3 linked regions of the Daphnia pulex genome follow. The protein of the gene in region 3 purifies or fractionates together with the protein of the main gene of each other region. This does not show direct contact. Links are inferred from orthologs where the notes say so. Each region holds a gene or a part of one and is shown on either strand. Other genes may lie near its edges.

Region 1 (3,360 bases), on a different chromosome or scaffold from region 3:
TAATTCTGAAATGAGTACTTTAATAAAATAAAAAAGAAACATACAGAATGACATTCTATTTTGATATCAGAATCACTATCACTTCTCCTGTTTTGAAGGCAGTCAAGAACAGCCAAATCATTTGGAAGAATTTGAGAGCTGCAAAGACGTGTCACGTCGTCTTTACAAACCGGGTTCGTAGCAATTTTTCCGGTGACATCCAAAGCTCCAACCGAAATAAAAGTTGTTAAGGTCACTAATAGAAAACTAACACCTTGGAATAACATCTTCTATTCCAGTCACTACTTATCAGTTGATTTGAAATTTATTTTTAAGATTGAATTAGAGAACAGTCACATCCCACACTTGGTCAGAATGAACATATTCAGGGACCACAGCAGACGTCAGCCGCGTCACACAGTCTACTGTTTGTTCCGCTTTCGCTATCATCTCTCATCTGTTGCCCAAGAACCTTATAGGTTTCTGCAACCACCTTGTTCAAGTACCGCTTAAAAAAAATCTTCTCAGCGGTTTACGTTTGAATCGGTTTGAGCAACAAAACTATATAAACCACGAACGCGACAAATTGATAAATTGATTAAGAAGAATTTATTTCTTTTACATCGATGGACCTGCGGCACAGATGTAAGCTGTGAAATGAAATCATAGAGACGACAATCCATGCAACGTCAGCGAAATACCTAACATTAGCGTCACAATCATTTACGATATGATACATTTATGAGAAACAGAAAATGAGTGCTGTCGCATAACGGGAACAGAGTGGGACAGAAAAGTTCACAGCAATTATTGGGCACCCTTCAAAAATTAAAAATGAATTTATAACTGTACCATATGTCTTTCAATTTCAACTCATTCAGGAATGTGAATTATGACCATCTTCAAAAAATAAAGTAATAGTACCATTCCAAGAATGTGATCAAATAAACATTTCTTGAGAACTTATCCAAAATTGCAACATGAATTTGTTTTTCTAGCTGTTTTATAGAACATTTTTGATGCATCACTCAGTCCTTGAGATTTTGATACAAGGTCATCCAGTTTTTCACCCCTTTGCAATACAGCTTCAATTGTGTTATGCTATGACAATCAAACATGACTGGTTAAAAAAAAATTAAAACAGATTGAAACTTTAAGACTTAAATTACCAAAATAATCTTAGTCTCATCTAGTTCATCTTGAACTTTAGTTAGAGCATCTGCTTCTCTGGGATTTTGATATTTTGCCAAAGATGCTTCTAATCCAGAATAAGCTGCACAGGCAGCATTTGCTTCTATCCAAAGAGATGATTCCACCCGAGCAGCAAAATCATCAAGCACCTTTTGTAATTAAGAATATCTCATCATTTCAATTCAACCAACATACAAGTAGCACTCACTTTGGTTAACAAGGTATGAGCAACCCTCTGTGGGTATTCATGATCTGCCGTCAAAACACAGCAGAGTCCATCTGCTCTCACATAAATGTGACACATATACTCTGCAATAAAGAAATAACATTTAATTTATAATGTACATTGAGTTTTATGATGACTCTTTGCATACATACCTCCTTGTTTCACCGATTGTCTGGACGCAGCACTTGTCCTTTCAGTCAAGATCTTGGCAGTGAAAGCCATAAATTCTTGAACGCTGCTTCGTTGAAAAAATCCAAAACTTGAGAGGTCGTAAGCCGCTCTAAGTAGCTGTGGTGACCCTTGCTCGCTGCGATGTAAAATCGCTAAAGAATACAGCTTCACCATTTTTCTAGATTTGACTAGTAAATATAAGATCCTCCAACAATCGTCTTACTGATAAGTGGAGAGGCCTTTGTTAATTAGTACTAAAGGTTCAAGTGGACGGCTTGAGTTTTTCCTCAGAAGCGGTTAAATCCGATCCGATAGAAGTCTGCAAAAAGTGACAACCAACAAGAGAAAAAGTTCAATAAAACAACGGGAATGGCCGAAGAACCCATTTGTTGCATCGGAATACACCGCCTCTAGCGGATAAACGTAAAATAAGCTGTTTCCCCGCGCTAATTTGGCGCTAATCAGATTGCTAAATTGAATTATAGTTAATTGCAAGAAAGTAAACACTTTTTTAGTAGAATTAATAATAATTTGAGAAATAAAACATTTGGTTTCAATGTAAATTTCAATACAAAAAACACAAAATTTTACAAAAATCTTTGGGGCAAAATCACACCAACAGAAGAGGCTTCATCGTCACTTTTTTAATAACATACTGACATTGCTAGCGCTAGTCGGACGACATACCTCTGTTCTGTTGTTTTTCGAAGAACGAAATACCGAAAATGTCATCAAATCTTCAACTGTTACTAGAAATGGGATTTTCTGAACAGTTAGCGTAAGTTTTAATTCCAAATAATTCATACCTTTTATATTTTTTAAATGGCAACTTAATATTTTGTTATATTTCTTTGAAATTTGAAAAGTGAAAAGGCTATTAAAGAAACTGGAGACCAAAATATTGAAGCTGCAATGGATTGGTTGATTGTGAACAGTGAGAAATTCAATCAACAAACTGACAACAATCAAGAAATGAAAGAGGAAGAACCAAATGCTGCTGCTCAACCTGAAGCATCAAATGCTGAAATGGCTGCTGTTACTGCCAAATCTATTAAATGTGATGAGTAAGTATGGAACTCAAGTCAACCATTGAATTTCTTACATATGTTTTTTAAAATTTCCTCTAGATGTAATAGACTATTTCGCACAAATGAAGAGGTAGAATTTCATGCTGCGAAAACCGGTCACAGCCAGTTTTCAGAATCTACTGATGAAAAGAAGCCTCTCACTGAAGAAGAAAAGAAGGAACAACTGAGGAAAGTGGAGGAGTTGATGAAGTTGAAGCGCAAAGAACGTGAAGAGAAAGAAAAGGCCGAACAACTGGAGCAAGAAAAAAGAAGAATACAGTCAGGCAAGGAGCTTCTCAATATAAAAAAGAAATTCGAAGAGGATGAAATAAGAAAGATTGCCGAAGAACGGAGGCGCGAAAAAGAAGAAGAGAAAAAAGCCAGACAGCGAGTGAAAGAACAAATTGAACAAGATAAATTGGCACGAAAACAGAAAGCCGGTGACGCAACCAATACGCCATATGTAGCTCCTCCAGTTCAGGCTCCGGCTCCGGCACCGACAACACCCAATCAGCCCAAGGACTATAAGGAGACGAAAATCCAAATAAGGTTATAAATCATTCTGGATGACGCAAGTCCCTCTTCCATAACTCTTTATTATTTCTTCCAGACTTCCAAATGGATCGACAATGACGCAAACATTTGGTGCTAAGGAGCAGCTAGCTTCAGTTCGTCTCTTCATTCAAATGAATAGGACCGATGTAAATGCCGGAGTGCCGGAACCAT
Region 2 (3,033 bases), on a different chromosome or scaffold from region 3:
ATTTCTAATCGCAACATTTCGTGACTTGCTTCATATTTTAGCGCATTTGAACTTCTGGCCTTACCGTGGCAGCAGGACGGAATTACGGTGGCACTTTTAGATTCAATTCTGGCTGACGGACGACTTAGTCATCTAGTATCTGACCCACTACTGTGCAAGAGACTTCAGATCGAATCATTGTACTCGAATGCGATTGATGATCAAGAAGGAGATGCCGTACAAATCCGTGCGGAGGAAGCCCTCGCCATCCCAGACGACATTGATTACTTAGAGTACGAAAATGATTGCCATTTGTTCTAATTCAGTTTGCGTTCTAAAAACATATTTTTGTATAGGAGTTCCATGTCTTTGTCAAACGAAGAACGAAACAAACTAAATGAAGCACGGCCGCAAACGGTAAGGAATAAAATAAGTAAATCTTGAAATCTAACCTAATCTTTCCTAACATTTTGGCTTGTAGATTGGTGCAGCTTCTCGGATTTCTGGCGTTACACCATCTGCCATTCTTACAATATTACAGTACCTTAATCGAAGAAAACGTTTGGCGGTAACAAACTCTTGATCAAGGATAATGACTGAAAATTCTTTGTAATGAACCTTTAAGGAAATAGTAAAGAGCGGGAAGAGCCATCACAGTATAAAATATAGAAGTTTTGAAAGTTATTTTTTAACGCTGAGAATAGAGGAGCAATAGAATGCAACCAAAACCAATCACGCTTCCTAAGATGATGGCATCTCTCCTCTTGCGGAAATTGATGCGCTGAACTACGCTATTGATTACAGGAAAACGGGAAGCCAAGTCGTTGACGCGAGCTTGCATTCGCTTCAAGTTGCTACGTTGATTTGCTATGTGTTCTTTGGTTTCGATGGCAATATTGATCTGATCGTCCACCATCCTCTCAGAACTAGATTAAACACAGAATCAAGCCAATGTAACAATAAGTTTATCTTTAATTAAATACCTCCTCAGGTGCTCATTTTCCTTCAGATAAAGATCAGTGCGCCTATTTCTACCACTGTCATTTTTGTAGGCACTGCAATTGTAAGATAAAGAAATTGTATAGGTAAAAAAGTAACAGTTAGAATTTCTTACTCTATGTCTCTTCTAACACTTCCAAGTAAGTCTTCCCTTTCCTTTTTGGACTGCAAGTGAGATGACGTCTTCTGGAATTCAGTGGTGTAGTCCTGCAAAATGTCACGGTGACGCTGGAGAGTGTGTTGCAAAGCTGCACTTGGGGCTTGAGAGGCAGACACTTCAGTCATTTGGGAGTTAACATCGGTGAGCTGGAAAAATACAAGTAGGCTATGCATTTTTGTGTGAGTCATGGTTGACCCCAAAGTTACCTTGCTAAGAAGCTGTTGAATTTCACTTGACCCTGATTCAAAGGCAAAATTTTCTCCAAGCAGATGAGCTGATTCTCTGCAAATCGAAACGGAAATGATGTAAAAGTGTTGCACTATTTCGTAACACTATTAGGCTACCCATTGGATTTAGAATTGTTGAAAGGGGTGGATCCTAACCCTAATTTACTGAAACTGACCAATTTTGCATCAATTTCATTTTCTAGCTGTCGGGCTTGCTTCCGCAAATCTGTATCAAATAGAGGACATATTATTTGAAAAACCAGTCCCATGACTTTAAACTAGTATATTTACCTTCCCAAGAATAGGTTCCTCTTGTCATATTGATGACGTTGACTGTCTCCGTTGTCTCCAGCCTGATTCCGTTTTACGTACTGTAATTTGATGGGATTTTACAAGCAACGAAGTTCACGAAGAAGAAAACATAAATAAAACTGAGGATAACAGATATCTTGAACTAGAACGACGAAATAACACGTAAAAACTGCCAACAATAACTAGTTTTGGATATTTATGTAGGTCTGCTCCTGTCAGTTTACGACGACGTATTACGGGAATTGATTCAACACCATTTGACAACGGTGTACTTACAAAAGGGTTTGAAATGAAATAACCGTTTTGACAAGCCTGTGTTCCAGAGCACGCATTTTTCACGTTAACCCAAAAACAAGTTTTGTTAAAATGGCATCAAGTTTGAAGAGTTTGTCACAGATTTGGAATAAGACTTCAAGGTCAGACGGTGCAACTGAAGAGATTACTCATACGTTGGGTGTCAATGGCAGTGGGAGTAGACGTCAATTGTCTAGACAGTTCAAAAGTGTCTCCGATGCTACGACGGAACAAGAACAACCACAGCCCCAAAGGAGATTATTACGTAGCAGAGGAGTACTTTCCTCCATCAGCAATCTCAATGTAGCTAATGTGCCCAAGGAAACTCGTAAACTCATCCAAGCTGGTGCTGAGAAAGTCAACCAAACATTCAATGATGTTCGCAACACTTTTGGAACTTGGTCCCAGGTTTGAAGCACAACTCTTCTTGTGTATAATTTAGTAGATTCATATCATGTTTATTTATCTACAGAAACTCAAGAATAATCCAGCTAGACGTCGACAAAGGCTAGTGAATAGTTCTCCATACACACCAGGAAGAGGAAAAGACACTCCAAGATCAAAACAGTTGTTGGGACGAACTCCAACTAAACTATACAGGTTTTTTAAAATGTAGTTTGAAATCATTCAAGAATTTAAAAACTAATTGCAGTGTTTCTAACTATTCAACAGCCCTTTTGGCATTGAGACACCATCGAGTCGACGTCAGCGAAATCATCAGAATTTGTACGGCAAACCTGGCACGTATACCCCCACGCGAGCCACAAGCAATAAGCGTTCTGGCAATAGCAGCAACAATGCCGATTTGGGACCCATCTTTAATGCTGCTTCCGTGTACAGCCCGACCCAGGTATTATTCACTCGCTACACCTGCCCAGGAAAAGCGATTGATCATCTCTCTCTCCCTTTCTATCTCTCATCTCCAGGCTTTCCCGAAAGACGTCCAACACGTTCGTCAAGGTGTAGAAGACTTCAACCGAGCAGCTGAGGGCGTGGTCCGTCGCAGTCTCCGACATCAGATGTCCACCGCCCACCTATAAACACTCAGTTATATCGCTTATT
Region 3 (3,934 bases):
AAAATTAAGAATGTTAATCTGATTGATACTGATACAGTATGGAAACGAGAAGTTCCATTAATTTTTTTATACCAATCTTCTAATTAAAACACCTATTACATATTGCATTCAAGGTATTTCGTATTCATGGTCAACACACAAATAGACCAGCCATAAGGTGCGCGAAACTCGAAAATTTGAAACTCTTAACAATTTGTTTGTTGACGGCGTCCATTGTCGTCTGCTACCAAGACGTTTACACTGCGACGTTTCGCACACACCGATTTCGCAGTTTAGTACGGACCCAAAGACTAAAATGCGAAACAGGGTCTCAACTTTTGGGTCCGTTTCGCACAGCTGTTTCGCATTTTAGGCGTTTCGCGTTTCGCGTTTCGCTTTCGCAGTTTAGGGACGCCCCTCTTCGGAGTAAGAGAGCACACACTCGAAGATTCAGAACTGCGGGCTAGTACTAAACTTTGGGAAAATTGTTGCGGTATTTTTTTAGATCAGAGGGTGATTCTAAACAACCTTTCAAAATACAGCTGACGGAAATGAATGGAATTGGAATGCAATTTAAAAAAATACTAGCTGGCTAGCTATAATATTGAAGATGTCAAATATAGATTAGAATTTATTTATTCTTCTGATATTTTACTATTGAATTTTATTCTTAATACATCACAGTTTATAACTTCATCATGAAAATCACCAGAAGTCTGCTGGGCAACATTTTCGTCAGAGGGCACATCTACATTCGTTAATCAAGCACAATGGAGAAACGAACCGTGAGTTTTAAATTCATTAGGATCGAAAATTGTATTGGTAAATGAATTGGAAATCGTACTTTAGATAATTTTCAAGCAAAAAAGATGGCGAATATTACAACAAACACAAGGACAACCCCAAAGACTTTTAGCATCAGCCACCTATTAGAAGAGACGGAACGAAAGTAACGCAAGAGTTCGTCATGAGCGGCTTCCACATTAAGTTGGGCATCGTCGACATTCGAGTCAATCCTACACGAAGAAAAATATTTCCATAAATTCTTTGTTATAACATATTCTAAAATAATTAATATTATTACCGCTGAACCATTTCTTCTTGTTCGCGAACCATGAGAGCCAGTTGCTGGAAAATTCCGCCCAACTCCACGATAGTGGATTCTATACTTTGGACTGCGTCAGAACGACTTTGCAGGTAAGATTCTGTTTCGTCGGCAAACACTTGCTGCTGAATTTGATTCCTGTTGGTTCTGTTGTCAGCGGCACCCATGTCGATAGCTACTGCTTCTCCTCCATGGGCTTGATAGGCAGCATCACGGAGTAGAACAGATCCTTTAGAACCATTTTGAGAGGATCCAAACGGTCCTCCTGTCAAGGCTGCAGCCGGTAAATCAGAAACGACTGGGACGGAGCCAGAAAACTGTTCTCGACGGCTTCTCTGGGCTTTAAGATTCTAAAATATTTTCAAAACATTCATTTTACTGAATATCCTAGATAATAAAATCTAGTAGTTATTTTTTAAACTAGGAAAGGCGTGTACCTCAGTGCGGACTTCAAGGACTTGTTTGAATTCAGAAGACATATTGGCTAGCTTCGACTGAAGAGCTACAACGACATTTGCTGAATGGGCCTTGGTATTTTGTTGTTGATTCTGTTGCTTTTTCATGAATCCTTGCAGATGAGCAATCTGTTTGTTCAGATTTGTGATATCTTCACGGATGATGTAAGTCAGTTCTTGGATCTCTTGAGGACGATCATCAAATAGCGTTCGTTTTTTCGCCACTGCAAGCATAAATGTGAAACCATGAAATGATTGGTTGAACAGTAGAAATTAAAAACAAAGCTAATTACATAGAGTTAGTTTTTCCAGTTTTGCATATGTGTTGCTCAAATCCTTACTAATAACTCTGTACAGAAAAAAATTTGAATATTTTCAATAGTTGCAAATATTTTCTTAAAAGTCGACAACTTACTTTGCCACTTTCATGAATTCAGAGTACTGTTGATGTTGATCTGTATTCTTAGATGGATGTGATTGACTCGGCCTCCCAACTACTCCGTTAACTGGCCTACTCTGGAAGCTTCTGACTGCAGAGAGAAACTCTGCAGTCCGATCACGTGAAGAAGCATTGGTGGAAGACAGAACTGATGAACTCGAATTAGATGCTAGGGCCATCATGTCAGCGCTGTTGGTTTTTGCTTGAACATCTACAAATTTATCTGTTGAATAATTTGGTGCAACAAATGCACCTATTTCACCCTGCGGAACAATGAAAAAGGATGGCTGCTGTTGAGGACTTTCTCCCGACCACAGTAAAACGGATGAAGAGCCTTTCAGGACTTGGTTTTGCAGTTGGGTTTCAGCAAGCGGCTGATGCTCCGATTCAGAGCCTTGCCGGCGTCTTCGAGTAATCATCCGTCAAAAATTTATCTCTCGAAAAATTCATCCGTTTTCGTCTTTGAAATCCAAATAATCGGGAACGCCAGATATTTTGCGACAAGAAACTATACCGAATGCCACGTCATATTAAGGGTTGTCTGCAGAGTGTGTGCAGACGAAAAAATACCAAACATTAGCCGTAATTCCCAACGTTGCCAACGTTAATTATCTACTGTATAAAGTTCAATATTTATCATTTTATTTTAACCTTTATCCAGCTTTATCAATTACTATTATTAATTACTATGTATAGACTTTATCTTTCTACAATGTTGGTTTGCTTTAAATGTCGCAAATTCCTCCTAAGAGAAGTATGACTTACGTACTAGGTTCTCCATCGTTCCCGCGTCATACCAATCAAAATTATGTTTTCATCTCAATTTATTTTTTTTTATTTAGGAAAAGCCGTTTTCATTGCTAGCGAGGGAAGACCAAAACAATATTATAATGCACACTTAGAAAAGTGTACTCATGTGTAATTCTACTGTTGAACACAGAAGTTCCCAAACATTTTTTTTTACATATAAATTTGTAAAGCATTTCTGTTAATTTTATTTTATTTCCTTTCCAAAAATTTTTAACAACCGTCTCAAGATTTACGCTTGATTGCCAAAGCTTACGTAAATCTTCAAATCCCTATAAAACACAAGCAAATAGTATTTGGTTGTACGGAAATAAAATCGTAAATGAAATAATATTGATAACAAACGATTTCTGCATATTATATTTACTAAATATCACTGCCAATTAAATAAGAATAGCAAATTGAGTCGTATTACTCAGAAAGAGACGGCCTGCTCATATTCGAAACAACGATGGAATGTTTAACTGTGGGCCTATAGATATGTAAAGATTGAAGAAACAACAAAGAAAATGATGGCCGGAATTGAATCATTTAAACTTTCTTGGTCGTGGCTGTGCGCTTAACCGTAGTGGACGCGCGCTTAGCAGTTGTAGGTGCGCGCTTGACAGTAGTGGTCCTAGGTCTAGGTGTTGTAGATGCGCGCTTGGCAGTTGTGGGTGCAGGTCCACGCCTAACAGTAGTGGTTCTCGGTTTAGCTGTTGTTCCTGCCCGCTTGACAGTAGTTGTTCTCGGTTTAGCTGTTGTTCCTGCGCGCTTAACCGTTGTCGATGAACGCTTAACAGTCGTAGCAGCACCAGCCATGGGCTTAGCCGTCGTCGATACCTGTTTAACAGTTTTGGGCGTTGTTTTTGAAGCACTCTGCTGGGAATTAGCCAGCGAAATGATGGCTACCACAATAAAAATCTTCACCTATTGAAATCAAACGCATTTTCATTAAATATTTATCAAAGAGTATACACAGTCATAATTTGTTATTGGTAAAATCACTTTCGCCGTGCTTTTGGCCGCTTGGTAGCTTAGAGGCAAGGCTTTAAATACGAATTTTTAAAAATCATTCAGGAAATAGAATACATGAAATACTATTTCAATAAATCGCTGCACTACATCCCAAATGAATTCCATTTAAATTGATTCTACGGCCTATGTCTA

Evidence for each region. The genes of interacting proteins can lie anywhere in the genome.
Region 1: the proteins of syntaxin-5-like (region 3) and synaptobrevin homolog YKT6-like purify together in Homo sapiens (affinity purification with mass spectrometry; 3 studies listed by BioGRID and IntAct, with this or other methods). This does not show direct contact. The link is inferred for Daphnia pulex from reciprocal best matches to the Homo sapiens genes STX5 and YKT6.
Region 2: the proteins of syntaxin-5-like (region 3) and Golgi SNAP receptor complex member 1-like purify together in Homo sapiens (affinity purification with western blotting; 3 studies listed by BioGRID, with this or other methods). This does not show direct contact. The link is inferred for Daphnia pulex from reciprocal best matches to the Homo sapiens genes STX5 and GOSR1.

Annotation. Positions count from the first base shown.
Region 1 is NC_060026.1:12,911,417-12,914,776, forward strand, and holds synaptobrevin homolog YKT6-like, read right to left. Parts: upstream 1,966-3,360; 5' UTR 1,742-1,965; coding exon 1,549-1,741; intron 1,480-1,548; coding exon 1,379-1,479; intron 1,320-1,378; coding exon 1,149-1,319; intron 1,081-1,148; coding exon 943-1,080; 3' UTR 570-942; downstream 1-569. Other genes in the region: Golgi apparatus protein 1-like, read right to left, coding at 45-266; UBX domain-containing protein 1-B-like, read left to right, coding at 2,293-2,345, 2,434-2,631, 2,695-3,183, 3,245-3,360. UniProt on the Homo sapiens protein: Vesicular soluble NSF attachment protein receptor (v-SNARE) mediating vesicle docking and fusion to a specific acceptor cellular compartment. Functions in endoplasmic reticulum to Golgi transport; as part of a SNARE complex composed of GOSR1, GOSR2 and STX5.
Region 2 is NC_060027.1:385,259-388,291, reverse strand, and holds Golgi SNAP receptor complex member 1-like, read right to left. Parts: upstream 1,800-3,033; 5' UTR 1,685-1,799; coding exon 1,657-1,684; intron 1,592-1,656; coding exon 1,483-1,591; intron 1,421-1,482; coding exon 1,345-1,420; intron 1,285-1,344; coding exon 1,094-1,284; intron 1,035-1,093; coding exon 963-1,034; intron 906-962; coding exon 668-905; 3' UTR 570-667; downstream 1-569. Other genes in the region: protein MTO1 homolog, mitochondrial-like, read left to right, coding at 42-272, 336-396, 461-562; uncharacterized protein LOC124207221, read left to right, coding at 2,044-2,379, 2,444-2,571, 2,644-2,821, 2,898-3,011. UniProt on the Homo sapiens protein: Involved in transport from the ER to the Golgi apparatus as well as in intra-Golgi transport. It belongs to a super-family of proteins called t-SNAREs or soluble NSF (N-ethylmaleimide-sensitive factor) attachment protein receptor.
Region 3 is NC_060017.1:4,341,423-4,345,356, reverse strand, and holds syntaxin-5-like, read right to left. Parts: upstream 2,552-3,934; 5' UTR 2,398-2,551; coding exon 1,955-2,397; intron 1,889-1,954; coding exon 1,833-1,888; intron 1,764-1,832; coding exon 1,522-1,763; intron 1,435-1,521; coding exon 1,064-1,434; intron 996-1,063; coding exon 836-995; 3' UTR 598-835; downstream 1-597. Other genes in the region: proteoglycan 4-like, read right to left, coding at 3,317-3,694. UniProt on the Homo sapiens protein: Mediates endoplasmic reticulum to Golgi transport.